3 linked regions of the Macaca fascicularis genome follow. Each later gene encodes a partner of the first gene's protein in a complex. Links are inferred from orthologs where the notes say so. Each region holds a gene or a part of one and is shown in the gene's direction. Other genes may lie near its edges.

The links.
Region 2: the proteins of serine protease 1 (region 1) and SPINK1 are in contact, whole or in part, in a crystal structure (PDB 7QE9), measured with the Homo sapiens proteins. The link is inferred for Macaca fascicularis from reciprocal best matches to the Homo sapiens genes PRSS1 and SPINK1. Residues at the interface, in NP_002760.1 of Homo sapiens: Tyr45, His46, Phe47, Cys48, His63, Cys64, Lys66, Arg101, Lys102, Thr103, Leu104, Tyr154, Tyr175, Lys178, Asp194, Ser195, Cys196, Gln197, Gly198, Asp199, Val214, Ser215, Trp216, Gly217, Asp218, Gly219, Gly227; in NP_001341895.1 of Homo sapiens: Tyr33, Glu35, Leu36, Asn37, Gly38, Cys39, Thr40, Lys41, Ile42, Tyr43, Asp44, Pro45, Pro55, Asn56, Val59, Phe62.
Region 3: the proteins of serine protease 1 (region 1) and TMPRSS15 are in contact, whole or in part, in a cryo-EM structure (PDB 8ZIV), measured with the Homo sapiens proteins. The link is inferred for Macaca fascicularis from reciprocal best matches to the Homo sapiens genes PRSS1 and TMPRSS15. Residues at the interface, in NP_002760.1 of Homo sapiens: Phe18, Asp19, Asp20, Asp22, Lys23, Ile24, Val25, Tyr45, His46, Phe47, Cys48, His63, Cys64, Tyr65, Lys66, Arg68, Ala91, Lys92, Arg95, His96, Arg101, Lys102, Leu104, Asn146, Tyr175, Phe188, Leu189, Glu190, Gly191, Gly192; in NP_001414986.1 of Homo sapiens: Tyr276, Thr277, Ile279, Trp297, Glu298, Leu316, Glu318, Asp320, Glu321, Ile369, Gln370, Ser372, Phe374, Pro376, Phe377, Ala389, Gly399, Pro400, Gly401, Gly402, Arg403, Glu405, Glu432, Asn433, Lys485, Ile486, Leu487, Val513, Pro514, Thr515.

Annotation. Positions count from the first base shown.
Region 1 is NC_088377.1:184,584,899-184,595,788, forward strand, and holds serine protease 1, read left to right. Parts: upstream 1-5,743; coding exon 5,744-5,783; intron 5,784-6,811; coding exon 6,812-6,971; intron 6,972-8,026; coding exon 8,027-8,280; intron 8,281-8,680; coding exon 8,681-8,817; intron 8,818-9,117; coding exon 9,118-9,270; 3' UTR 9,271-9,311; downstream 9,312-10,890. UniProt on the Homo sapiens protein: Has activity against the synthetic substrates Boc-Phe-Ser-Arg-Mec, Boc-Leu-Thr-Arg-Mec, Boc-Gln-Ala-Arg-Mec and Boc-Val-Pro-Arg-Mec. The single-chain form is more active than the two-chain form against all of these substrates.
Region 2 is NC_088380.1:154,608,221-154,617,306, reverse strand, and holds SPINK1 (serine protease inhibitor Kazal-type 1), read left to right. Parts: upstream 1-648; 5' UTR 649-742; coding exon 743-797; intron 798-2,510; coding exon 2,511-2,542; intron 2,543-4,024; coding exon 4,025-4,131; intron 4,132-7,495; coding exon 7,496-7,541; 3' UTR 7,542-7,620; downstream 7,621-9,086. UniProt on the Homo sapiens protein: Serine protease inhibitor which exhibits anti-trypsin activity. In the pancreas, protects against trypsin-catalyzed premature activation of zymogens.
Region 3 is NC_088377.1:28,967,629-28,977,787, forward strand, and holds the end of TMPRSS15 (enteropeptidase), read left to right. Parts: intron 1-3,326; coding exon 3,327-3,482; 3' UTR 3,483-5,909; downstream 5,910-10,159. Other genes in the region: CHODL (chondrolectin), read right to left, coding at 7,407-7,491. UniProt on the Homo sapiens protein: Responsible for initiating activation of pancreatic proteolytic proenzymes (trypsin, chymotrypsin and carboxypeptidase A).

The DNA of each region.
Region 1 (10,890 bases):
TCCACTTGCTGTGGAATACACCCATGTATGCATCAGCCACTTGTTTGGTAAACAGTAAATGTCTACTATCAATTACCTTGAGAGGGCCATCTGTGCTCCAGATGTGTGGTTTATGTGAGGAGACGGCTACCACTCACTATCTTCAGAGGAAAACAGGGCTCAGGGCTCACACAAAATGGACAGATACACCTGGGTTACCCAGAAATTCACTGCATACAAACATCACTTTGTTCTACATGGATTTAGTTTTTATGGAGTCCAAACTCAGACCCTAGTTCACTTTACAGCCTTGGGTTTGTCTGCTTGTAGAGATACATATAAAGTAGATAGATAGACAAAACAGATATATTTTTTCCCTTTCTTACCATAATGTCAATGCCTCTTCTGAATATCATCATCACTCAAGTCAAGGGAAGAACCAAACACTTCGTATAAACAGATCTGGGCTGGGTGGGGAGTGTTAGTTTGCATTATTTTCTGTGTCCATTCAGATCATTGCTTTCAAAGCCCAGCTGGTTACCTGAAGCCAAGAGACAGACATAAGGATCCCAATGGCCTTCCAGACGGCTGCTTCCACCTCCTACCTGGGCGACTTAGACTCTTTACACAGGAGAGTGAGTCACCCCACTCAGAAGGGTTGCCAGCAGAAACAGGGCATGAAAATCACAAGTAACCACGACATTTCTTCCAAATGTTCAGTGTAAAATAAACCACTACCACCACCACCAAAAATACAAAATAAGCAAAAAAAAAAAAAAAAAAGCTTATTCTAAATGCAAGAGAAAATGCTGTGTGAGAGCCAGGTCAAGGGGCTGCATTTTCTCAGGCCACAAAGCTTTCTCAGTCCATTTGCTCACATGGAACAGTGAGATATGAAGGTCTCCAGAGTGTGTGCTCGGGATCGAGGCTGGAATCGTTCACCTGTGGGTCCAGATCAAAGGGCAAAGAAGCAGAAAGCCACAACTCTGTCCACAGCCATGGCTTAGGGCCTCCTTCTCACAGAGGCTCTGAAGAGCCCCCACCTCAGCCTTCACACAAAACATCTCCTTCTTGCTCAACTACAGCCAGACTGGAGTGCCGTGGTATGATCTCTGCTCACTACAACCTCCGCCTCCAGGGTTGATGTGATTCAGCCTCCCAAGTAGCTGGGATTACAGTCACGCGCCACCATGCCCAGCTAATTTTTTTTTTTTTTTTAAAGTAGTGACATGGTTTCACCATGTTGTCCAGGCTGGTTTTGAACTCCTGACCTCAAGTGATCCAAAGTTTTGGGATTATAGGCATGAGCCACCACTTCTGGTCCAGGTCCCATTTAAAAAAATAATAATAATTTCAACTTTCATTTTAGATTCAGCGGCTACATGTGCAGGATTGTTACATGGGTATATTGTGTGATGCTGAGCATTGGGGCACAAATGATCTCATCACTCAGGCGGTGAGCTTAGTACCCAATAGGTAGTTTTTCAGCCCTTTCCACCCTCCTTCTCTCTTCCCTCTAGTAGTTGCAGTGTCTCCGGTTCCCATCTTTATATCCATGTGTACCCAATGCTCAGCTCAAAATTATAAGTGAGAACCTGATATTTGGTTTTCTGTTCCTATGTTAATTTGCTTAGGATTGTGGTCTTCAGCTCCATCCATGTTTCTGCAAAGGACATGATTTCATTCTTTTCTTGGCTGCATAGTATTCCATGGTGTATATGTACCACATTTCCTTTATCCATTCTATTGCTGATGGCCACCTAGATCGATTCCATGGCTTTGTATTGTGAATAGTGCTGTGACGGATATGCAAGACCATGTGTCTTTTTGGCAGAAAAAAATTATTTTCCTTTGGATAAAAGCCCACTAAAGGAATTGCTGGGTGGAATGCTGGTTCTGTTTTAAATTATTTCAGAAAACTCCAAACTGCTTTCTGCATTAATTTTTCCATGAACTGATTTACACTCTGGCCAACAGTGTATAAGTGTTCCCTTTCCTCTGCAGCCTCACCAGCGTCTTCTATTTTTTTGACATTTTAATAATAGCCACGCCAAAACCAAGCTCTTTCAAGGCCAACATGGGGAGGAGCTACAAATATCCCTTTTCCAGAAGAGAATTCCTGCCTGCCCACTGGTAGAATTCTCGTTTTCATCTGTCTTTCATTGTTTGTTTTTCAAAGAAAAACCAAAGGCAAAGTAGTATGACCTTCCACACCTGAACCAGGTTGCAGCCACCAGAGCCTGCTGGGAAGGGGCCCATCAAGCATGCGTTGATCTTGTCACCTGGAATTTGACAGATCAACAAGCCCCATAGCAACCGACCATACACCTGCCCATCAGCACTCATTCTTTCAAGGGATTAGCTCAATTCTGGCTCTGCAGACACTGGCAGCCACAGGTCACAAACCCTGGGTCTCTGTGGGCTTCCCTCCTCACCCAGGACCACAATGGGCTGCCTGTCCTGGGCAGAGACACAGCAACATTCTCTTAAACTGAAATTAAGCATAAATCCACTTCACGAATAATCATCTGAGGGCACAGTCCCTGCCTCCTTCCTTGGGGATTTTAAAACACATCTCTCTGACCCAAGCAGGTAGGTGAGATCTGATTTTAAAGGTAGGGGGATGAATATCGAGATTAATTGTGGTATTAGGAATGAATCTCAAGTGTTTTTGGGTTGGTACAGGCATCCACATCCAGAACTGTACCTGGAGATGGAGAAAAATGCAGGAGAGGAAACGAGAAAAAAAGGGGGACAAAGTTGCTGAAAGTCATTGAAATCTTCTCCCATGGTTCTTTCTGGCTCTGGTTGCTTTGCCAAGGTATTGAGTTCAGGCACGGCCGGCTCTGACTGGGAGCTGCTGCTCTGGGAGATGGAAGAATCACTGCACCTCCAGAAAGCTCATTTGATCATCTGTAAAATGATCATTTCATCATCTCTAAAATGTAAAATCCCAAGGTGATTGTGATGATAAAATGAAAAAATATTCTTAACTTATATGAGTTACCTGCTGTATAGTAAGTTACATGGTATATAGTAAGCACACTGATATGATTCACTGTTATAATTGAAGGTCAGTGGTTTGCTGTGCTAAGCACTAACCACAAGCCAGAAAGATGTATTAGAGAAGTAGACAAAGAAATCTATAGTTCAGAATGAACAGGATCCAGAATGACATGTCCTCCAAATTGTGCTTGGGCAGCTGGATCTGAGCCTATCCTACATATCTGAGTCTATAGTACGGGGTAACAGTCTCCACCTATAGCTGTCTTCTCTGACTGTAAGGTCATTCCTTTTTGAAGAAAGCTGACCATATACTGTGATCATTTAAGGAAGAGCGCAAAATTCTGGAGAAGGCTAGTCTTCAAGCTCTAGATACAGAAATCCTCATATTCTTGGGTGTTCCCTTTCAGACAGAGAGTCAGAGCACAAGCACCTGATCCAAAAATCCCCTTTTCCAAACACATTTTCCATCTTCTACCAAGGTTCACCTCCCTGTTTAGTGCACACTGGTATCGTGTCTACACTTGCTAGAGCAAGAATCTCTCCTTATCCGCTAAGGCAGGAGTTCTGTGAAGATCCCATGACAAGGGGACAAAATGAAACAACATGCTTAGGGACAACACAGGAAAAGTCCATATTATCAATGCTCCAAAACCTGGTTACCTCAGGCTTGGCCAGTTATTCATGAGCAGAGAGGTGTGTCATCTACATGGCAGTCATGGCCTGGATGGCTCTGGAACTGTGGCAAGGTAAGGCTCTGAGACAAGGTGCCAGGAGAAAGATGAATTCAATCATCTATTTCTGCCAGGAAGAAAAGCACCAGGAAGGAATCAGATGTACGGTTTGTCCTCTGGGGACCTGTGCCTTGATCCTCAATAAATCTCCTTTTAGATGCCACCTGCAGCAATTCCCACACTTCACAATGCTCTCCACGGCTTGTTGATCTTATGGTCAGCTCTGCCAAGATCTGTATTCTTAGCAAGACAGAATCATTCTGAATCTCATTGTCTTCCTCTATAAATGGAAACACTTTTGCTCTGCAAAAATCACAATTAGTATGTCTGTGGGAAGTTAAACTGTGAAAGTCACCAAAACGAAAACAATGTACCACGGTTGCTTACGTGAAAACTCTTCTAAAGCTGTCAGGCACCATGCACCATCTAAATATAGCAGTGTTAGGTATGAGCCCATCCATGATTAGAGGACGTACGAGGTGGAGAGAGGGTCTCCGAGCAGTGGGTCTCCTGACTGTGGAGAAGTTGGCTCGGTGGCCATGGCAGGAGCTGAACTCAAAGGTACTCTGTGTGTCCTCTCAACTCCATGGGTCCCACTTTGGCATTTTTTCCAATTCCCTCTTGTTTCCATTTGCTTCCTCCCTCTATCCCCCTGGCCATGTCCAATTTCACCACCAAGTTTCTGAGCTTTGCTCATTTTGTTCACCGTCTCCAGGACATCTCTCCTTCTTTTACCTTTCAAAGAATTCAAACTTGAACCCTGCTCACTCCTGCCCATCACCAACCCGAGCTCTGAGTTGCTAAGAAGGGAAAGCACTCTCATAAGGAAGCTTCTTCTTTTCTTACATCGTTAGACTTGAGCGGAGACAGCATCTCCATCTCCACACTGCTCTGGCCAAGTTGTGCCTCAGTCAATTACACAACTGTGTCTTAGCAACCTTGCTAGGGTCCAAATCAGGATATTGTCTGGGAAGATTCACTTTGTACTGAGCCCAGCATAATCTCACAGCATCTAAGATAGAAAATTCTAGATCCGTCCCTCCACATCTTCTTTTTTGAACCCAATATGTGACCCATTTACCATGTAATCTCTACCTACTGCTGATTCTCAGATCAGATCATAACCCAGATTGATCATGGTCGAAACTCTAGCATGCCATTGTGGTTCAGGCTGACAGCCCTGACCAGGTGGGTCAGTTTGCATCGCCCTGAGTGCAGCTTGCCAGGGCAACCGTGAGGCTGCATGAAAAGAACTTATGACACGATGCACATGAGACAGACAAATGTCTTCACATTGAAGAACGGGAGGAGTGTGCTATCGGTTTTCCATCCTCCAGATGCACTGAGCAACCTAACTAACCTGTGCCCCTCCTTCTTTGCAACACTTCCCATCCTTAAGCCTTGGTAGGAAGGAGAGCCATCTGGAAGCCCAGAATCCTATGAAATGTGAGTCTCCCTTCCCCTTATCCCTTAGTGTTGGAATTCTTGTTCCCAAAGTCTTGGATTTGACCTTCCTGCACACTGACTGGAGAGAAGCATCTTCATTTTCACAGGAATGAGCCTTAGATAAGACTTTGCTCCTCTCTTGGGGGCTCCAGGACACTGAAAAGCCAAGGTTGTTACCAACGCTTGTCCTTCCTTAAGAACATTAAATACATCCCCAATAGATAAAAGGATTCCTAAATAGCGAGGCCATTTTCCCTCCTTCTAAGCCTCATCTCCTGGGCCTAAGAAAGCCCAGCTGTGTGATCCGGGGCTTGGTTTTCCCTGTCTTCCCCATCTCACCATCCTTGTAGGAAACAGCCAATCACCCTCTCTCCTCTCAGAAGGCAAGTTTCCTTATCACTTTTAAATCACAAACCCACAGAGTGGCCAAACATAGCCGAGCTGATGCAAGACCCTGGGAAGCTGCAGGTGTGTTTGTGCTGAGAGGAGTGGTGACCTTCACCTCACAGACACCTCCTCTCCCAATCCTCGGGAGGTATAAAGATGGGTCCTCCACCACCAGTCAGGCACTTTCTACTGCCATGAATCCACTCCTGATCCTTACCTTTGTGGGAGCTGCTGGTGAGTATCATGCCCTGCCTTAGGCTCCACGCACACCATCTCCTGGCAGACACATGCCCTTCCATTCTTGCTACCTATCCCCTTTTGACTGTGCTCTGATATTCTATTTCCTCCATATGGCATCTCTAGTTCCCATCCTGTATGGGCTCTCTTTAAGGCTCTCCTGTTTCAACTTCTCCCTGATTTCACTCCCACCACTGTTGTACATCTATATCCGAGCTGTGGTTGGAAAAGCTAGGAAAGGAGGTCAGGTGGGGCTGGCCCAAGAAATGAAGCAGCAGGCTTCAGACTCAGCTCCTACAGCACCACAATAGCACCACTAGAGTCGCTCTTAACCTCGAATGCACGTGGGGAGGTTGAAAAATTACTCATGCCAGAGACTCAGCTCTAGACATTCTAACTTCATTTGTCGGGGGGGCAGCTTGTGTTCTGGGCTTTTAAGCATCCCAGGTGATTCTTAATATTTCCAGGCATACAGCCAAGGTTAAGAATTGCTATACTATTGGCCAATAACAACATCTACCCTTGTTCTGTCGAAGTGAACCTGGGGGCTGCCCTAAACGCGGCCCTAACTGCACAGATCTGAGCTATGGGGGAAGCTGGTCACGGCAAGTTCTCCACAGCCAGGGGGTTTTCCTAGCTTGGCCAAAGTATCCTGACAATCCAGGACTCAAATAGCCAGGAAAAGTACACAGCTCATGAATAAAAGAGAGAAGCACTCAGTGGGTGAGACAATCACATCCCAACTCCTATCCCACTGAAAGCATTGTGAGGACATTCCTTGCAACCTCAGCCTAGTGACCCCAGGAGAGGTCTGAGCCCCACTGGGTACCTTGCAACGTGCCCTGGAGACACAGAGACTTGGGAGACACATCCAGTGATGCTCACCATGGGTGGCTGCGCTCCCTTCCTTGCCTAGCGTCACTGTGCTTGTGAACCATTTCTAATTAGAAGGAAGCAACTGCAGGCTGGGAGCAGCACCCCTAACATGCTACTGACTTGCCTTCTCCCCTCCGTCTCCACTCCAGTTGCTGCCCCCTTTGACGATGATGACAAGATCGTTGGGGGCTACACCTGTGGGAAGAATTCTCTCCCCTACCAGGTGTCCCTGAATTCTGGCTACCACTTCTGCGGTGGCTCCCTCATTAACAACCAGTGGGTGGTATCAGCAGGTCACTGCTACAAGACGTAAGTGTGGGGCCCCTGACGGCAAAGCTCCAAGCCAGGCTGCCTGGTGGAGCATGGCTTCAGCCCAGAGAAATACTGAGGCTGGGTAAGATGGAGGGGAGAGGTGGTGGAGAAGAAAACTTGTTGGCAGCAGCTGACTGTCCAGAGCAGAGAGTGAACACAAGACAGGAACCTCTCACACCCAGGCAAATCCATGAAACAGCAAGGGTTGTGGTCATAAAAGCAGGCAGGGATGATCTTGGGGTGGTCAGAGCTAGTGAGAAAAGCAGGCAAGTACCTTTTGTTGGTTAGCTACACAATAAAGCCACCTAAGAAAGAGTTCAAAAATACTAATGCCTCTGTCCCATCCCAGGGCAATTAACTCAAAATTTTCAGAAAGAGGGTGTGAATATCTGAGTATATAACAGTCTACTTCTGGTAACTGTAGAGTGCATAGACAGAGCTGAGAAACTCTGCCTAGGCAAAGAACTCTCAAACCTGAGTATGCACCAGAAACACCTGCAGGCTTGTTAAGGCACAAATCACTGGGTCCCATCCCCAAGGTTCTGATCAGTAGGTGGGGGTAAGGCCCAAGAATTTACATTTCTAACAAGTTCCCAGGAGATACTAATACTATGGCTACCCTTGGATTAGATTACACAGAAGGGTGGTGCTCACCAGGCCAAGAAGGGAGGGAGGAACAGGCACTGTGCACAGTTAGCAAAGACTTGGGGTGAAGAATGCTGGGAAAACTACAAGGAGCTCCTTGTGCCCACAGTGCTAGTGACTGTGGAGATTGTGGGAAAGAGACTGCGAAGGCTGGTTGAGGAGCAGCCTCCGTTGGGATCCCTTTGCCTCTTCCCCACCTCACTACCACCAACCTCTGAAGCAGAAAGGTCCTGGGTGTCACACCTGCACTGACCCACATCCCTCTACTGCCCATGTGATATGGCTACACAGCCCACCTGATCCCTCCAGGGTTGTCCACGAGCAGGGAGCTTAAGGACCCTGGGGAAGGTGGGATGGGTGCCCCGGCTGTGAGAGAAGGTCTTCACCACGCCTTCCCTGTCCATCAGCCGCATCCAGGTGAGACTGGGAGAGCACAACATCGAAGTCCTGGAGGGAACTGAGCAGTTCATCAATGCAGCCAAGATCATCCGCCACCCCAATTATAACAGGAATACTCTGAACAATGACATCCTGCTGATCAAGCTCTCCTCACCTGCCGTCATCAATGCCCGTGTGTCCACCATCTCTCTGCCCACCGCCCCTCCAGCTGCTGGCGCCAAGTGTCTCATCTCTGGCTGGGGCAACACTCTGAGCTCTGGTGGTGAGTGGCACCCTTTGTCCTTCTACTTCCCTCCATCCTCACAATTTCCAGAATGAAGCATGCCCCTTAACTTAAATCCTCTCGCCTCCAGGGTTAAGATGCATTTCTAGTGCCCATAATACACAGGCTCTGCACAGGGCACCAGAGGATGCAAAGTCTCAAGGACTTGACTCCTAAAATCAAAAGACAGGACAAATGGAGAACTTGCAATGATCACATCTTGGAGGGGTTCAACAGTGATCATTCTGGGAACTAAAACCAGAATCCCTTTCCAGGACTTATGTTTTGGAGTCCTCCCCAGAGGCAATGTTCCTCTTCAATGTTCCATCCTAGATTATTGTCTCCTTCTAAAGCCTGACCCACATTTTGACTTTCTTTGTTCTCTTCCATATCCTCACAGCCGACTACCCAGATGAGCTGCAGTGCCTGGAAGCTCCTGTACTGACCCAGGCTAAGTGTGAAGCCTCCTACCCTGGAAGGATTACCAGCAACATGTTCTGTGCGGGCTTCCTTGAGGGAGGCAAGGATTCCTGCCAGGTGATTGGAACAACCCTTCCCATGCAGAGGCTCCCAGTGATACCCAGGCCCCACCCGAGAAAAAGATTTGAACTCCCAAGGTGGTGGGGCTAAGGATGCTCCCTGTGGTGCCCCCAGGGAGAAGTGAGGAAGGCTCCCTTGGGCTGCATGCAGTCTGCTTAGGAAGAACAGAGAATGGGCCACCATGAGAAGGACGTGGAGTCACAGAGCTGGCTGGAAAGGGGTCTTTTAAGGTTCAGAGTAAATATAGCTATATTCCTCCTCTATCTCTCCATACAACTTGTACCTTCTTCACCCCAGGGTGACTCTGGTGGCCCTGTTGTCTCCAACGGACAGCTCCAAGGAATTGTCTCCTGGGGCGATGGCTGTGCCCAGAAGAACAAGCCTGGAGTCTACACCAAGGTCTACAACTATTTGACCTGGATTAAGAATACCATAGCTGCAAACAGCTAAAGCCCCCGGTCCCTCTGCAGTCTCTATACCAATAAAATGACCCTGTTCTCACTGTGTCTGTGCCTGCTCCCTCACACTCCTTCACACTGGAAAGCATCCTCCAATCTCAGGTCAGACACGACAGTCCCCCTTAAAGGTAGGCAGAGCCCCCGGCTCCCAAAATGTGTTCCATGGTAGACTAGATTAGCACGTACAAAGAGATGGAATCCAAAAATAAGAAGCTTGGGAGAAAGGGGGGCACTGTTTTCTAGAGAAAAGTGTGTTTCAGAACGGTGGTCTTTGGCAGGGGGTATTGATTTTTATTTGGGCTTCTCACAGTGGTTACAGCTACTCTGCCTTCAGAACAATCACAGCACAGAAAATGTGTCAGCATCTTCAAGGTGGCCCAAAACATCTGACCAGCTGAATCTTATTGCTAACATACAACAACGACAAATGCCATTGGTGATGACGTGCCTCTACCAAGAATGTGTCAGCACCAAACCCTGGACAAAGCCCCCCTTCCCATTCACCTGGAAAATCAGACTCAAGTAAATCTCCCTGGCCCCTAACTCTTCCCTCAATTCCCTAGTTCCATCTCTGTGAGCAGCTAGAGAGATGTCCCGCCTACCATAGCGGGAGCCTGACTGTGACTTGGGAATCAAGCCCAGCTCTGCACTCTTCATTTTCATCTTCTTTGCCTTTGGGGTAGGACGCTGCAGTGAATCCCACAGCCAACACCATCTCCCCACTATGACTATGACCAGGGAAAGAAACTAGAGAGGGTCAGAATTCACCCATTTGGTCAATTAACTGAGGAAGTATTCATTTTCATAAAACTTGCTTGCCATTGAAACACTTCAAGTGAGTTATTTGGGACTCTTTTAAAAAGGTAGAAGGAAAGACATCTGAAAGCTGTGACACTGTCCAGCCACTTTGGCCACACATTGGCTGGCTTGCACCCACTGGACGCAGCAGAGGGAGGCAGGGCCCGTTGCACCTGTGGCACCTGCAAAACCTCCTCCTGACAATTCTGAGAGGGCCCATATTCGGGCCATAGCTTGTCAAGGTTGTCACTGAAGATCCAAGCAAACTTCTCTTTAAAATTCCACCTTCACCTTCTGTCCCAAGTGCTTGTGGACACCCCAGGGAGCTGGTACCAAGGGCCAAGAACAGCCAAGGGAGACAGACAAGTTCAGAGCACACTTCCAGTTACAGGGAACAGAGCACAGGTCTCCAAGTGTCCGTGAAGGAGCGTGCAAACTGCAGTGATGAGTAGAGTAAAACCTCTACATGGAGCATAGCATTCCTGGCAAACACAGGGGACCACAGTCCACATGCTGTGGAATACACCCAAGTATGCATCAGACAGTGTTTGGTAAACAGTAAATGTGTCAGATCAATTACCTTAAGAGGGCCTCTGTGCTCCAGATGTGATTCATGTGAGGAGACGGCTACCACTTACTACCTTCAGAGGAAAACAGGGCTCAGGGCTCACACACAATGACAGATACACACGGTTTACCCAGAAAGTCACTGCATAAAAACATCCCTTTGTTCAACACGGATTTGGTTTTTATGGAATCCAAACGCAGACCCTAGTTCACCTTACAGCCTTGAGTTTGTCGGCTTATGGAGAAA
Region 2 (9,086 bases), on another chromosome or scaffold:
TGGTAGATAACCAGTACATATTCTCAAATGAAAGAGTAACCCTTTGAGTTAGATGTTATTATTATTTTAATTTCCAGATGAATACACAGAAGCACAGCAAAAGTGACTCCAACAAGCACCCTCTACTCTAGAATACACGCTTTAGGGAACTGAGTCCTCTCTCTCTCTCTCTTGCTCTCTCTTTCCCTCTCATCTGCCACTCCATCAGCTACTTTAAGCTTTGTGAATGGGTGATAGAAAAATAGAGAAAAGAGAAAGAAGAATAAGAAATGAAGAGTGGAGGAAAGGAAGAAAGAATGGAGAGGTTTTATCCTACTTGGAATAAAATTCTTTCTAGTCGCTATCCATACCTGCTCATCTATCCAGACCTACAGAGTAGAAGGGATCTTTGGGTTTACCTTACAGGGGAGAAAACAGGCTTCAGAAGGGTATGACTTTCCCCCAACCATAGAGAGAGCGGGATCAAACTAACCACTAGAACTATTTTCCTGACAGAATGTTTGCCTTGCATATTTCAGGCCCACCTGGCTCCTTTCACCTTTCTTACGCAGGTGACATTCCCAGAACCTGGAGGCCAGGCTACAACACAGAGTCAATCAATAACCAGGGAGATCTATGATATAGCCCAGTAGGTGGGGCCTTGCTGTCGTCTGCCATATGACCCTTCCAGTCCCAGGCTTCTGAAGAGACGTGGTAAGTGCAGTGCAGTTTTCAACTGACCTCTGGACGCAGAATTTCAGCCATGAAGGTAACAGGCATCTTTCTTCTCAGTGCCTTGGCCCTGTTGAGTCTATCTGGTAAGTGTTTTTGCATATTTTTCAAATTTAAATAAAATCATTTTGACCTGTTGCTTTGTGGAGCACATTATCTTCTAGACTTTTGATGTAGTCTAGTCTTCGAGAGATCTTTTGGACCTAGTGAGATGAAATAGAATCCACAGATAAGAATTATTTTTTAAGAGGGATTTTTAACTTACTACAAGGAAAACAATTCTGCTAGTAAGAACTGCCTAGAGATAAAATGGTTTTCCTCTATTGATGTGGCTGACACTTTGTTGGAATACGGTAGAGAAAAAAGGGTAAAAATATTTCAATTTTAACTATACTTCTAATTTTGTAAATGTGTAAGGCCAAATTACAATAATATATGTGATATAAAGGGGAGTTTTTATTTTCAGTTTCTGGTATTTCTTATTAGTATCTGGAAATACAAAAATTGCATTTTGTGTATTTACATTACACGTTTTGAATGTTTTGAAAGAAAACATTCTGCTTGAATAGATGGTGCACATATACCCCCAACTGCATCTTGACAATGTTAACAGACAACTCTGAACCCTCAGAGCCAAGATCAGTTTCCTTTTTATCATTGGAAATAGTTAACATTTTCAACTTCACCTCTCATGTAGCGACGGATCCTGTGGAGAGCCAAATCAGCACTTTGCTAAGAAGAGGAAGAATATTGTTTGTTGTATTCGCCGAATACTTATGGCAGCTGTCAGTGTTCCCTTTCCCCCTCCTCGTGCATGTTAATTAATACAAATAGATGCTTGTGATGAGCACCTGTTCATCAGTTTTTAGATTCAACTAGATTCTAAAAGCCAGTGGGCCCCCAACAACATCAAGTTCTGACTATCCTGGGGGAAATTCTCCAAGCTCTTAGATGCCTCGCTAATTTTCATTACATTTAGATACAAAGAACTACCTCTTTACCCAGATCACCTCAAAGATTGATGATATTAAAAATTAATTTTCACAAATATTTCCTTATTTGGATGCTATCAGATTAATCCCTTTCGCTTCCATGAACTCATCCACAGTTATCATTTTCTACATGTTGTCAGCAAAACCTATGCTATCTTCCGGGGAACGGAGATTAGCTATTTTGACTACCTGTAAATTCAATAAATGTGAGTTGGACCCATAGTCCATATGATGCAATAGTTGGAAATAGCTTTTTGGGAACTGATAGTGAGTTGGCAAAAGAGCTCTATTTTTTCAACATTACTTACAAAAGAGAATTTAAGTGTAATTGAAAAAGCTAATTTTGCATCAGAAGGCCTGGTTACTGCTTGTGATAACTGTTTCACAGCTTTTCATCTGTAAACAGATAGAAAGTATACTTCACTAATTGTGAGATTAAAGATCTAGTAACTGGTTTTGAGAATGTTTGTGAGGATTCAAAAGATAATTTGCTCAGTGCCTGATACATTTCCAGCAGTAAGTACATAATTTCTATTTTCAAGGAAATAGATCAACTTCCTAAAACATCAAATTGAGATACTTTGGTCATAATCAAAGTTTTACTTAATCTTTTTAAGGTTTTGCCAGGGAGGGGGTGCAGGAAAATCAGTCAGATACTTTTGGAGGATTATAGAAATCAGAAAGGGTAGGGAATGAAAGAGCCTAGTAAAGAAGTCATGGTCTGCAGTGAAAGCAGAGAATTCTGAGGAAGAATAGATCTGACTTCTCTCGTTTAGGACCCAACTTACCATATCTGATTATTTCCAGGTAACACTGGAGCTGACTCCCTGGGAAGAGAGGTAAAGAGATATTTGTAATTTCTTATTTCTCAGGCTGGAACAGTTTGATCCAACAAAAATGCAGCCTTGCTGTCACCTTTCAGTTGAGCCTGAAGTTAAGAGGAGTATGAATGCTAGGGAGGGTTAATGTGTGAAATGCAAACGGTAATAGTAGTTCCACCCCACAGGCATATATTGAAGGACAATTTCACTGATGTATAAGCAAGTTCTATATAGTCCTACAGTGCTTGCTGTGAAGGGGTTTTTATATAAACTAGTGATAGCTGTAAACAAGTATTTGGGGTGGAAGCCTTCTCAAGTTCACTCCAAGTAGCCCTTCCTCCTTACAGCCAGTTTGACCATGTTGGCATGCAGCTTTCCCAATGACCAAGGTGTGGCTCTAATTTATAATGAACAACAGAAAACAATAAACTAGGTTCTTCTTCTAGAAAAATATTCTAACTCTAATCTTTTCATATTTTTTTGTTTAAAAGGTAATTTCAGTAAATTTGGAGACCAGAGGAAGAAGTGTCCCTCTTCTCAGTACATTTATATCTAGTCAGAGACAGCTAATAGACCAAAAGTTCATGAATGAACACATGATTACATTTGTGATAAGTGTTATGAAAAAGATATGCTGCCATTAAGAACTTAGCCTAGTTAGAGAGATCAGGGAGGGTGCTCCGAAGTAAGTGAGGGGTCATTTTGAGCCAAAAATAATAATAATAATAATAATGAGTGTTAGCAAAGCAAAACTGGTGGGGAGATGTAGTAGAATGAAGTAGTTAAGAGCTAAAGCTCAGGAACTCTGACTAGGTTTGAATTCTGAATTTAGGAATTCCTTAGCTAGGTGTCCTTGGCTAATTTTATTGCTTTGTGCCTCATTATCTTCACCTGAAGAAGAATATAATACTTAGTTCACAGGATAGTTAGGCGGTTTAAACAGAATAATATGTAAAAAGCACTAGGACAGTGTCTAGGACAATGCCAATCATTTGATGATTATAAACTCTTACTAGAGTAGAATGCAAAGACTTCCAACACTGGATGTTGGCTAGTGCCTTTAAGTGCCTAATAGAAGGCCAGTGTGTGTGGACTATAGTGTACAAGGAAGAACATACCTCAAGATGTGGCCAGCCTGAGAGATGCCAGCATCTGCAGTAACTGTAAACTTGAACATTATCTCACCCATCCGTGCAAACCTCACAACAACACTATGAGATAGGTGGGAAATGGTAATATCATCACCATTTTGCAGATGAACTGACTGAGTTTCAGAAGGGCCATAGGACTTACTAATGTCACACAGTTTAGAAATAGCAGAGGCATGACTTAAAACAAGGTTTTCTGTCTCGAGATCTTAGGTTATTTCTCTTACAACACACAGTATCGTTCTCCCAATCACAGTTGTGCCCCAGAGAAATTAAAACCATTTCAGAGATTTTGCTATGAACTCAAGAATGGAGAATAATGGGAAATGATTCTGTTTAATTCCATTTTTAGGCCAAATGTTACAATGAACTTACTGGATGCACCAAGATATATGACCCTGTCTGTGGGACTGATGGAAAAACTTATCCCAATGAATGTGTGCTATGTTTTGAAAATCAGTGAGTACAAACTTGAGTTTCTTTTAAACTATATATTTTAAGATAGTTATCTTCAAATATACTGATAATATGAATCTCACCCTGAGAGAAGCAAACTATTTACTTTTTCCAAAAACAGTTATCTCTTTCTTATTCTCCTTTTTATACATTTAGCATTATAATATTATTTTTAAAAAGTCACTTTTATGATAAAAGTCTACATTTTTACAGCAAAATAGTTGATAGATTGGATTTTTATTAATCTTATACACACAAAATACCTTTAATTAAAAAGAAATATTAGTGGTTGCAATGATTGTGTTTTTTAAAGCTCTCATTTATGCAAATATAAATTGTATAGATTATATAACCAAAAATGTATTTTTACTCATGGATATGAAAGCCAGTTTCAGTAAAGCTTCATTTTCTCAGTATCCATGAGTAAGAGATGGGATACAGAGAAACAGATTCGACACAAATTTCCTATCTCACTCAGCAACTGAAACCTTAGCATGTGTAAAGCATTATGCTAATATTCCTTGTCTTACTGGTGCTTATGACTAAGAAAACGTCATGAGCACATATAGGATGGCTTCTTATAATTTTGGGCAAATGCCAGAAGATGAGGTGTAAATAAAGTGCAACAGGAGTGAAGCAGGGATACATATTTTTTGTTATTAAAAGGGGCCAAGAAAGGATCCATGAAAAGAATAGAATGCCGGCCGGTGCCGTGGCTCACTCCTGTAATCCCAGCACTTCGGGAGGCCAAGGCAGGTAGATCACCTGAGGTCAGGAATTTGAGACCAGCCTGGCCAACATGGTGAAACCCCGTGGTGGTGGGCACCTGTAACCCCAGCTACTCAGGAGGCTGAGGCAGGAGAATCGCTTGAACCTGGGAGGCGGAGGTTGCAGTGAGCTGAGATTGTGCCACTGCACTCCAGCCTGGGTGACAAGAGTGAGACTCCATTAAAAAAAAAAAAAAAAAAAAAAAGGAAAAAAAAAAAAGAATAGAATGCCATTTAAATAGAGCTCTGAATTTTGGCAATATCAAAAGAGCATGCCAGGTTAAATAAAGGTGTGGAATGAACAAAACAAATAAAAGGGGATTCCACGAGTGACTTTAGTTTTTCTGAGATTGACTTGATATTAAAGACTTTGACTCAGGCTCAAATGACTGTGTAAATTTCTATTATATTCTACTGCATAACTTTCCTTGCCTGTAATGCAAACCTTCTTCTTGGGCTGGTTTAAACCATTGTGGAAAATTCTCAGAGTTTAGCAAGTATCGTGGAAATAGGTCCCCAGGATGAGAGGTCTAATATCTTGAAGTTTTAGACCCAAAACCTTAGGTATTCTACTTTGTAATGAATCCGTTTCCATAACTAAGACTTGTAAAAGGAATTTGAAGCCACCTGTTAGTTTTCTCATGACCCACATTCTTGACATTAAGGTCAAACATCAACTTTCCATCCAATGGGAGGAGAAAGCAAGAGAACAACAGCTTTGAGACTTGGGAAATTTCCAAGTGCCACTCAACATTTACAGTGAAACGTTAGAAAAATATTAGTAGAGGGCTGGGACACCCTGTCTGCTTAGTCTCTGAAACCTACAAGTTTCTGTTTACTCTTTCTGTTTGTTCAAAAATATGTAAATACGGGAGGCACATTTCTATGCTAGAAAACATGACCTCTCTTCCTATATTTCTCAGATAAGAAAATTTAGGTCTAGAGACAAAATGTTGCTTTTCAAATACAACATATTTCCTAATGTATGACATTGCCCTTTACACTGTTGATTAAAAGTCCCCAACTTATTACCTAGCAACTAAAGCCAGATGCTGATCCTAGTTTGAGACAAGTAGATAATACCAAACAAGGGCTTGCAAATCAGTCTTCTTGGTCATTATATGCTTGACAAATAAATTCAAAAAACACTTTTTATATTCCTTCTATGTCTTCACAGGAAATCTGTACTGGCAAATTCTTTTCCATAAATCTGCATTTCCAATAGAACCTTCTATAATGATGGAAATGTTCTATGTTTATGCTGTCTAATACATAGCCACTAGCCACAAAACAGTAGCCTTAATGTGGCTAACACTAACTTAAGTGTGGCTAGCATAACTGATAAACTGAATATTTAATATTATTAATATTTAATATTTAATATTATCTAAATTAATTTAAATTTACATAGCTGTATGTTGACAGTGAATATATGAAACTAGAGTGAACAGCATAGCAACTCTTGTTTATTCTGTTTAGGTATGTGTGCTTATGTATGCTAACTGATTTGGAAATCAGTATTAATGAGTACTTAATGATTGTGGGACAAGAAAGCATTAAAAAGTCTTAAAGAGTTTCACTGAACATGGTGGCTCATGCCTGTAATCCCAGCACTTTGGAAGGCCCAGGCAGGCGGATCACTTGATGTTAGGAGTTTGAGACCAGCTTGGCCAACATGGTAAAACCCCGTCTCTACTAAAAATACAAAAATTAGCCGGGCGTGGTGACATGCACCTGTAATCCCAGCTACTCAGGAGGCTGAGGCAGGAGAATCACTTGAACCCGGGAACCGGAGGCTGCAGTGACCCAAGATCACACCGCTATACTCCAGCCTGGGCAACAGAGTGAGACTCTGTCTAAAAAAAAAAAAAAAGAAAGAAAGAAAGAAAGAAAAGAAAAAAAAAGTATATGGAAGTCAGATGTCCTCCAGTAATAGAGAAGTAGAAGAATTTTTGTAAGCCAGTATATTCAAAGAAAAAAATGGTTAGAAAAATTAAAGACCTGGAAACAGTCTTCTAGGGAACAATTACAACATTTAGAGATATTTAGCTTAGAGAAGAGAAAACTGGTTTGGTAATGGCAGTGTGGGGCGAACAGAGAGGTTTTATCTGGAGGGGAGGATGTTTAGAACTGGCAGGAATCATGTGGAATAAATATATGATTTAGTTTTGCGAGACCTCACAGAAATGAATCCCTAGAGCTCTAAGATGAAAGGTCAGTCAATTAGAAGGTCCAGCGATAGCTCAGGCAGCAGCTCAGATGGAAACCTGGTGGCGAAGGCAGAGGCATCAGGAGCAAAAGATGCAATGATGGATTTGAGTTTAATTTCAGGGGTTCACTGTAACACTCCACTAGGTCTGTAAAAACTGTAAGGACAGATGTTTTTCCTTTCTGTTGTATCCTTAGAGTATACAACAGTAATCAATAAATATTTGATGAATTCATGAGTAAGTGAATGTATAAATGAATGAAAGAGAAAAGATTCTAAATCTCAAACCCCTCTACTTTAAATGAAGTTATTTTCCCCCGTTTTTCTCCCATAGTCACTTTTTTGTCAATAAAGTATAAGCTGATTTTTTTTTTTTTAATTTCTACTGCAGGAAGCGCCAGACTTCTGTCCTCATTCGAAAATCTGGGCCTTGCTGAGAACCAAGGTTTTGAAATCCCATCAGGTCACTGTGAGGCCTGGCTGGCCTGATAGTTGAATAAATGCATCTGAATACTCCCTGTTGTTCCCATTTGCTTTTTCCTCAAAGGTATGTTTGATTATACCAGGGTCAGGGGACTTTGGCAAGACTCAGAATAGACCAAGTTTTAAAAACACCAGGAATCCTGTAATTTCACACAGGGTTTTTCCCTCACAATTCCTTTTCTTTCCTCATCTTTCTTACATCCTGAGGTCACTGCCTGAGAAAATGTGATTGCAGATATTAAATGGCAGAGCACGGATGATCATGAATGCAAGTAATTCTGCAGAGGACTGGACTACTATTTTAAGGAACAACTGGAAAATACCCAGTGCAGAAACATGTTACCCATCACAGTTTGCTGACTGAAGTAACTCCTTTAGGTTTCCTTGGGATTTGATCGAGTGTCTATTGAGCCTGGCACAGGTCTACATGCATGGGCACAGAGCTGCCTGTCTGGTGTAATAGAGTTTAGTCTTTGAGATTTTCCACTTATCTCAGAATGTAGAGTTTGGGTCAAACATAATTGTCTCAAAAAGATTTGAATCACTGAGTAAACAGAAAAAAAGTACATTTTCTTAACAAGGCTATGGAGCAGCTTGTGGACGTAGCCTTAGTTCTTCGCCAGCAGGGCCAGTTCCTCATTAGTTACTAAGGTGACTAGTGGTAAGGTAGAGCCTGTGGTTGTGCCTGATAACCCAGGGCTTGGATGGAGGACTTCCTCTTGTGCTTCCCTGGGAGATCCGCTTCACAGGGCCTGATGGGTTTGTGCTGTGCTAACCTGAGGCAGGTGGGTGGGGAGGCCTGATTCTGGATTAACTTTGGGAATGGTCTCTTCTACTATCAAACCATTCCCAAAAGATAATCTGACAAGGAAAAAAGTGACTATAGACCAGATGAACTGATCAAGAGACCTTTGTGCAGTGCACTTTGGTTTATGTGTAAGCCAAAACAACCCTGTAAGATTATCCTTATCTTATGAGTAAACTTAGAACTAAGTGAAATCACCTGCCTAATATTGCCAGCAAACAAAGTGGCGGGTTTAGGCTTTTATTATAATACAGGACGGAATTCAAGTCCAGTGCTTCTTCCATGAAGCCACAATCACCTCACGTGAGTTATTCATTGCCTACTTTTTCTATAGAAACTTTAGATAACAACTTCCTATTAAAAAGGTCTATGTGTTTATATTCAGGGAAGCAAATAAACTAAAGAAGTGCCCCCAAAGAAAAATAAAAGTATGTACAGCTACTAAAAGAAGAAGGAGGAGGAAGAGGAGGAGGAACAAAAAAAGAGGAGGAGGATGAGGAGGAAAGGAGGAGGAGGAGAAGGACGGGGAGGGGGAAGATGAAAAAGCAACTTGAATTCCCAAAGTCATGAGGAACTAGCCTAGAATGGAAAACTAGGTAGAGGGCTAACAGAGCCCAAGATGCAGGTTTTCTAATATACAGCAGGAAATAGATCACCTATTGAATCAGAAATAACCAGTCAAAAGCTATTTCAC
Region 3 (10,159 bases), about 160 Mb from region 1:
CTTGTATAATAAAATGTTATCATAATTGAGTAATTAATATGCTCGATTGTCACATGATTTTCTTTGTTCAACTTTAATACTATGTTTTATAACAGGATTAATTGATTAAACAAAAATGCATTCTTTAAAACTGTGAACACGTTATTACTGTTCAAATACATTATTTGAATAAGTTCTTCGAAGCATCATTTTTTAGCCATACGATGGCAAAGAATGTGCCTTACTAGTCATCCACACCAGACGTATCTTCTGACTTACCAAAGGCTTGCCTTTTAGTGGTAGTAGTTTGGATTTAAAGGCAACATCAATGGCTGGAGAATATCTTCTCCACATAAAATTCAGTGAAGGACACTCTACCTGCCATTCCAAGCCATATTCTATACTAATGGCTTTCAATGTGTGGCCTCCAGTCCAGCAGCACCACCTGAGAATCTGCTAGAAATACAAATTCTCGGGTCCCATCACATATCTGCTGAATCAGAAACTATGAGAGTGGGGCCAGCTATGTGTGTTTGTCACATCTCCCAGGAGATTCTGATGCACACTAAAGTATGAGAAGTATTGTTCTGAACAAAGATGGTCACCTTGCACTCAGACACTCAAAGAAGGTACTCATTTTTATTTTTACTTATGAATATAGCATCTCACTAGAAACATAAACTTAAGGTTAATACTTTATGTTCTGTAAACTAATGCATATTTTAAAAAATATTTATATATTTATGTATTTATTTTTGAGTCAGAGTTTTGCTCTTATTGCCCAGGCTGGAGTGCAGTGGCACGATCTCTGCTCACTGCAACCTCCGCCTGCCTCAGCCTCCCGAGTACCTGGGATTACAGGCACCCATCACCACACCTAGCTAATTTTTTGTATTTTTAGTATAGACTGAGTTTCACCATGTTGGCCAGGCTGATCTTGAACTCCTGACCTCAGGTGATCCACCTGTCTCGGCCTCCCAAAGTGCTGAGATCACAGGTGTGAGCCACTGTGCCCGGCCCCATGCATATTTTTGAAGTACTCATTATATCTCCGAGACAGTGCAATAATGAAATATTAATACCTTCACTGAACAAATCAGAAAATTAAGGTAAGGCAACAAACATATGGAAAAAAAAAACTCAACATTACTGATCATTAGAGAAATGCAAATCAAAAGTACGATGAGATACCATCTCATGCCAGTCAGAATGGCTATTGTTAAAAAGTCAAGAAACAATAGATGTTGGCAAGGTTGTGAAGAACTAGGAACACTTTTACACTGTTGGTGGGAGTGTAAATTAGTTCAACCATTGTGGAAGACAGTGTGGCGATTCCTCAAGGATCTAGAACCAGAAATACCATTTGACCCAGCAATCCCATTACTGTGTATATACCCAAGGGAATATAAATCATTGTACTGTAAAGACATATGCACATGTATGTTTACTGCAGCACTATTTACAGTAGCAAAGACTTGGAACCAACCCAAATGCACATCAATGATAGACTGAATAAAGAAAATGTGGCACATGTACACCATGGGATACTATGCAGTCATAAAAGGGAATGAGATCATGTCATTTGCAGGGACATGGATGAAGCTGGAAGCCATCATTCTCAGCACACTAACACGGGAACAGAAAACCAAACACCGCATGTTCTCACTCATGAGTAGGAGTTGAATAATGAGAACACATGGACACAGGACAGGGAACAACACACACCAGGGCCTGTTGGGGACTGGGGGGCAAGGGAAAGGAACTTAGAGGGCGGGTCAATAGGTTCAGCAAACCACCATGGCACATGTACACCCATGTAACAAACCTGCATGTTCTGGACATGTATCCCAGAACTTAAAGTAAAATTTTTAAAAACAAAAGAAAAGAAAATTAAGTTGAGGAGAAGTTACATAACTAAACTGATGTGGTATAGTTAGATGACAGGAAGGAATGGAAACAGACTGAGGCCTCTGAACCAGATAAACCGCCCAACCAATAGGCAACAAGTCTGCCGTAGGATCCTTGAGTAACTGCAACTGGCCCAGTATGTTCTGGGTAAGTTAAAACCCCGGTTCTGTCTGGATCCTCTTGTCTATCAAAAAATTAAATTATTTTAGAAGATATGTGAAAAAACAAACGACTCCTTTTAAAAATATCCAAACAGCTGAAGTTGATTTTTAATAATTTCCAAGTCACATAAAATGTATTTTGATCCTTGGATATATACTGTTCCATAAATATTTCAGAACCTATATTACAGATTAAGGGCTTGGGAGGCAGAACTAGAAATCACAGTCCCTGCTTTCAAACAGCTTGAACACATTTGTTACACTAGAATGTTGGTAACCTATGGTCGCCAGTGCAATTTATGTTCCTGTGTATGGAGGGGGAAAAAAGGTGACTACAGTTTTTTCTTCAAATACAGGGCCCAAAGATGATAAAGGATCAGATAAAAAGCCTCTTAGGATAATTTCTAGCATCCAGCTGGGATTGAAATATTCTGTTACACCAATGATTTCAAAACACATACAACTTTAAATGTCTTCATAAATATAAAAAGCATTCATTAAAAAGATTTGCCCAATTAATACAGGAAACATACTTGTCAATTTCATGTCATTAAATAGTGATATTATATGTTTGTATTATCACTGCGTTACACAGGAATCATAGGCAATAAAATCTATGTAATGTACTAGGATCTGCTGTAATTAATATTCATAAAAATTAAAAACATTTCTTAGTTTGAAATCTCAGATGAAAACATGAGTAACTATCACTGAAAATTATATCACGGACTTCCTTATTTCAGTTGAAGTGTTTTTTACAGACTTCCTTATTTCAGTTGAAATGTTTTTCAAATCGGATGGTGTTTGTTGAGCCCCAAAAAGATAATGTTACCCAAGAGCACTAAAATCTACTTTGTGAGTTCCTAATTTTTCCGAAGAGTATATTGTGAAATAATTTGTCTTTTCCGCAATGTCCTTTGTGACACTTACAGCAGATCTCCTTAAATAAAATGATTGGATTTTAATAAATATTTTGTTTGGGATGCTTGTCATAGTTATGCTTTAAAGAAATTCTTAGTATCCACCAAAATGCCTAATTAAAGTGGTGAAACTTTTACTAAAAAGCTGCACCGTAAAAATTATAAATTATGTCTTAGTTGTTACAGTGTCTCTGTCTCCTTACTGAGGTTCTCATTCCTGACTTAGAGTGAAAGTGAGAATATATACAGATGACTTGCAATTAAATCGTATTTTTTAATTTATTTGATACAAATAATTTTATATGTTTCGATCAATTGATGACATAGCTACAATTTTGTTTTGCAATTCACTCTTTAGGGGGATTCAGGAGGACCGTTAATGTGCCAAGAAAACAACAGGTGGTTCCTTGCTGGTGTGACTTCATTTGGATACAAGTGTGCCCTGCCTAATCGCCCGGGAGTGTATGCCAGGGTCCCAAGGTTTACCGAATGGATACAAAGTTTTCTACATTAGCACATTTCTTAAACCAAACATGAAAGTCAGATTATTTTCCCATTCTACTCTAGAAAGCATGGAAATTGTTTAGTACAAAAATTTTAATGAGTTACCCAAAGTTTTTATTCTTACCTATGCCAATGAAATGCTACGGGGCCAGGGAAACAAAATTTTAAATATAATAAAATTAGCAATACAGAGTAACTTTAAAATACCATTAAATACATTTTTTATTTCATTGTGAACAGGTATTTCTTCGCAGATCTCATTTTTTAAATTCTTAATGATTATTTTCATTATTTACTGTTATTTAAAGGGATGTTATTTTAAAGCATATACCATACACTTAAGAAATTTGAGCAGAATTTTAAAAAGAAAGAAAATAAATTGTTTTACCCAAAGTGCGTCACTGTTGGAAATAAACTGCCGTAAATTTTCTAGTTCCAGTTTAGCTTGCTGTTAGCAGAATCTCAATCGTTTCTCTGTCTTTTCTATCAAAATTCATTCTTATTTCAACATATGCATAACCTTAGTATTTTCCCCACTAATAGAAACTATTTACTGTGAGCTTATGTCACAGGCCTGGACTAAATTGATTTTACATTCCTCTTAAATAAGTTAATGAAATAAAATATAAATTAACTGATACGGTCATTGTTTATTAGATGAATTTTACCTGGATTATGTATACTGTCTATTTCATGCTAGTATTTTTAAGTCTCAAAAAAATAATCAGACATACCAAAGAAATGCACCTATTACAAATCCTGGTCTTTGTTTATGTGTGTTACAGTGGATATTTCTAATATGTGAAAAACTTATTTAGACACAACTGAATCGCCCATGAGAAGGTCAAATATGTGGAATAAATGAATTTGCTTCACTTATTTAATCTCTTGGATCATTTCCAGAATAAGTTCAGACTTCAACTTAGCTCACCACACAGAATCTTTTGATGTATTTGGGGAGAAAAAAATCATAGTTAATACAAAACACATACACACATACCCACACACACACACACACACATTCTTGCATGGGACAATTTAATAAAGAGAGAGTAAGGTTAAAAGGAGTTGAAAGAAGGGACCAATCTGTATGACTTGGCCTTATGGAAGAAAGGAGACTTGAATTACACCTGGAAAGAATAATTATTACAGAGGCATTGAAGAGGATATTGGGGATCCACTGGGCAGGTGGGAGTCAGTTAAGGGAGAGGGGTCAGTAGAGAACCATGTGTTGTCATACTAAAAGACTCTCTCTCTGGGAAACAGTCAGATAAAAGGAAAAAAATGTTATATGAAGAAGGTGTGGCCAAATGATGGATGACTGCAAATTCCTGTTAAGAAATTGTAGAATTCATTCTTTGGACCAAAATCAGGAGCCACTTGTTTTAATCCATTTTCATGCTGCTAATAAAGACATACCCAAAACTGGGTAATTTGTAAAGGAAAGATATTTAATGAACTCACAGTTCCACATAGCTGGAGAGCCTCACAATCATGGTGGAAGGCAAAGGAGGGGCAAAGGCACATCTTACATGGAGACAGGCAAGAGAGCATATGCAGGAGAACTTCCAAGTATAAAACCAACAGATCTCTCGAACCTTATTCACTACCATGAGAACAGTGTGGGGGAAACTGCCCCCATGATTAAATCATCTCCACCTGGCCCCACCCTTGACACATGAGGATTATTACAATTCAAGGTGAGATGTGGGTGGGGAAACTGCCAGATCATATCACCACTGAACACACGATTCTTTTTAACACCTTTCCAATGGTCTGATTCTAACAGTTGGGAAAGATAGACTGACCAGCAGGGTATTTGTTTTTAGTACTAGAAGATTGTTCCATATCTCATATGCATTTCAAAACATACAGCAAAAACATATTCTAAAAATGCTAATGCAACAGATACACCATGTATTTCTTTTCATTTTCCAAAGGTTAGCTAAAATTTTAGGAAACTGTTAAGGTAGGATTACTACCATTTTCTAATAAAATAGAAGTCCATTTTCCACCTCCAGTAGCTTATAGGTTTAGTTGTTGATACCAGAAGAGTTACTCAGACCTAGATAAAGATCAAAGGCAAAAGCAAGGCATTTCCCCACCGATTTACTGCTTTTGCCTTGCAGCTGTTACAGTCCATGGTGGCAAAGACAAGGGGGAACATCCAGTTTTCCTCCACTATGTCCACACTAGAGGGAGAAATACATGATAGTAGTTTGGAGGGAAAAGGTTAGGTCCCAGCAGCTGGTCTCCAGTTCTACCCAGAAAGATAGGTAGCCAAGAGAAGAAAGAAGAATGCTGCATGTTGGCCAATCTCAGCTTCAAATGCAGCTGCTCGTTCTCTCAGTCTCTCAGCAGCTGAAAATGGGCAATGCCCATTGATTTCTCTTTTGCCTCCTAGCTTTGCCAACAAGTGCTAGTTGTGAAATGTGTTAAGGAAAATACTTTATTATTTAACTGAAAATAATTAACAGGGAAAATATTAGACATAACCACGCCTTCCATTATTACCACACTTAAAGAGTAATTTGTTTCCAACTTTATATATCGATGCAAACATATCTGTACATTTTTTCACATAAGAGGTTTAGACAGGACTAGTGATCATTCTTCAGAAACAAGAACTCTTTATTTTGTTAAAAGGAGCACAGGGACATATGAAGACCAGACAGTTACAACACTCTCTTGAGAAGAACAAGGCATAAGCATTGAAGAAACTAGGAGATAACACAGAAAGGAGCCACCATTTTCTCTCTCAAGCAAACCCTCATCAATGAATATGCGATCACTGATGGGTTCCAACCCATTTTCACACCATTTCGTAGTTCCTTTCATTCCTGAAATGTCTGTGTGCTGTGCTTATCTCCACACTCATAGTGACTATTCACCTGGTCTCAACCACAAGACCTCTTTGTATACTAATATAGTTAGAGGCTAAATACAGCTAGGGAAACCATAGACAAACTTTGCAAATATCTGTCTCCAGTGTCAATCCCAAACCCCAAACAACCATCTTTGTTTAGTGGGCAAGAGAGGGACCACATTGATTTCAGAACCCTCAGAGAGCTGCTTCTCATTATATAGGCAACGTGTGAAGACATATGATTTATATTGTGTATGCCACTACTTTTGTTCAGATTGACTGCATTACTGTTTATGCACCTATTAACAAAGTTACATTATTAAAAAATCTGTTGAATTTTAAACTAAAAATAATCATAAGGCACATGTCTTGCACAATTGAAATTAGACAATCCTTGCCTCTAAGTAAAATGTTTGAGGAGGTTTATATCACACTTACTGAAATAGCTTCTTATTTCTGAAGAGGTTTCCTAGACATTGACCAAAAGCAGAGAAACTGAAAGATGAGTTATTTCTAGAAAACAAACTTTTTCTATAGCACTACATTTGTGTGTCTGTGTGTGAATTCAGTTGACAACAGTAATGTTTCTTTAATCAAAACAGCATGTATTGAAAAATGAGATGCCATAAAAATAAATATTAGAACAGTTAATTTTTATCAAACACTTATGCAAAGGTAAAATACTTTTGCACACTGTAAATTTCAATACAATATACATTACATTGATTAGATTACAGCTTATGAAAGGTGAAAGAAATACAAAGAATTGCTTCTAACACACATACTCCTGATGTGTTGATAACTTTATCTGCATTGTCCATTTCATTTGCTTGAAGTTTCGGTGCATCCTTTAGCAAAATAAGCAGGTCTCACTCCATTGTTAGCACAGCGTATTTTGTAAATGAAATAATAAACATATAAAAATTACTTTAATATTTGCCTCAAGGGGGAGCTTACAGTTCATCTTGCAGATCCTGTGTGATTTCAAGCCATTCCAAGCTAATGTTCTGATGCCATTCCTTATACAGATTCAGAATTACAAAATTCTGGAACCAAGTCAATGAGTTACTATACTTCCATGCCACTTTCTTTTCTGCTGCTCTTTGAAATCCACAGTGTGGACTGGTTTGGACTAGTTTTTGTTCTTCCTTTACTGAAAAACATAAGAAAAAATAAGTTTAGTGCCTAAAACTTCTTATTAAACTAAGCATGTCTTGGTCCAAAGGGAGATATCTCAGACAGTTCTTTATGAAAGACTCCTCCTCCTCTTATCAGTATATTTTCCCATTCTTCCAAAAACTTCTAGATTATTCAAATATGTGAAGATGGCAGACGGTTCTTGTGAATGATAGAGAAAACAAAACGTATCTTTTCCTGTTTGACATTTCCTAATTTAGAGTTCATTTTTGTTGTTGTTTTTTTTATTGTTGTTGTTAATTTTTTATTTCCATAGGTTATGGGGGAACAGGTGGTGTTTAGTTACATGAGTAGGTTCTTTAGTGGTGATTTGTGAAATTTTGGTGCACCCATCACTTGAGTAGTATATACTGTACCCAATTTGTATTCTTTTATCCCTCACCCCCTTCCCACCCTTTCCCCCTGAGTCCGCAAAGTCCACTGTGTCATTATGTCTTTGCATCATCATAGCTTAGCTCCCACTTATGAGTGAGAACATAAGATGTTTACTTTTCCATTCCTGTGTTACTTCACTTAGAATAATAGTCTCCAATATTACCCACGTCGCTATGAATGCCGTTAATTCATTCCTTTGTATAGCTGAGTAGTATTCCATCATATATATACACCACAGATTCTTTATCCATTCACTGATTGATGGGCATTTGGGTTGGTTCCACACATACAAACATGTGCCTGACACAATATTAACCATTTCCATTTTATTCACCAATAAAAACCTTTATTTTCTTTGATCAATTATTTTGGAAATCGTCTTGCTCCTTGAGTCTCCTGTCACTAATGTATGCTGAATTTAATGTCAAATCATCAAAACAATGGTATTATACTATGTGTGCAGATGTGCCTATTCCCCTCCTCCCATCAGTTCTCCGGCTCTGCACCTAAGTCACTTGATTTCTGGAAGCTTACTGATGCCTCAGTCTCTGAAACCGTTGTGGTTAAACAGCAGCTTGATGCTTTGGTAACATAACAGTATCTGAGTTCCTCTAGATCTGAGATACAGTTTCACCCTTGTCAGATTTGGCATTCTGGCCCACATTTCCAGCCTGTGCTTAGGGTTCTGCTATCTTCTGTCTTTCCACAACATAATTACTTTTCAGGCACCCGCAGCAGTTCCCTGTTCCTGGGTTTACCTAAGTCATTCTGTCTCTTTTTTTTTTTTTTTTTTTGAGACAGACCCTCACTCTGTTGCCCAGGCTGGAGTGCAGTGGCGCGATCTCGGCTCACTGCAAGCTCCACCTCGCGGGTTCAAGCGATTCTCCAGCCTCAGCCTCCCAAGTAACTGGGATTATCGGCACCCACCACCACGCCTGGCTATTTTTTGTATTTTTAGGAGAGATGCGGTTTTGCCATGTTAGCCAGGGTGGTCTCAAACTCCCGACCTCAGGTGATGCACCCAAGTCATTCTCTACTGGATGCCCTGTCAAAAGTAGATTTCTTTGGGCTGGTTTCCTCGGGATAATCTCTTGCCTGGACCAAAAGTGTTTGTCCCAGTTCACTGTGTTGTGCACTTACTTGCTCCCTGACCACCCCAGCCCCCGTTCCCAGCATCTGCCTCAATCTTCACAGACGTCTCCCCATCCCCTCCTCTCCATCTACCAGACATTGCAGAATTCCCTCAAAGAGAAAAAAGAACTATTTCTAAACACACCTGACCATCACCCTTTTAAAATATTACTTAATTCATTTAGATTTAGCTGTTTTGATTACTAATAAAATATTATGTCCAAATTGTATGGTTTGTAGATTTCCATCCAAATAAGTAAGATTAACACAACTCTATTCTACAATCATCTAACATGTATGGAATATAAGCCAAGAAAGTTTATAAAAAGCACAAAAATGTTCTAAATGGTTAAAAATGGTTATTAATGTGCCTTTTGTGTAGAATTAGTATTTCATTTAAGAATTACTTAAATTTTTTCTAGGTCTTTTGTTACTTAATGGGTTCTTTAGGGTTTATTTCAGCAAAAGAAGAAGATGAAGTAAGGTCAAAAGAGAAAAATGCATGTTTGCAGGTCCTTTCTGATGGAGGCATTCTCTTGATCAGTTCTTATTTAAACCACTCAGACAAAGATGTCTAGCTTATTCTAGCGAACATGCTCTTACATAAACAGAACAGCTTTTCATTTTTTTTATTTTGACACATATTTATATTTCATTTTTATTTGAAAATGAAATAAATTTTCATTTTATTGAATTTTGTTTCATTTTTATTAAAAAATTGGGACACATGGAAAAACTTCTCTAATTCTAGGGTATGAGTAAGCAGATACAAAAGTCATAATAATCTCCCAGAAATCTTGCTGGTAAAATAGAGGATTTTATTTCAAGATACCTGGCAAAAAGTGACCTGTTTGAACCACTGTATTTTATTTCCTATTCTTAAAAGATCTTTTTGAAATAAAACAGAAACCTGTGACTTGAATTTTGAAAAGTAATACAAAATGAACCCCAAAATATCAAGTCTTACATATAGCTTGATGTCTAGATTGAAAAGTCTAGCATTAATTCTTATACTTTATAACAAAAAACAGTTTAGTAGAGCGTATATGTTGGAAGTTTACAAACATCCAAATTTCAGATTCAGCAATGGACACTAGCTATGACTAGGTAACCAAGGC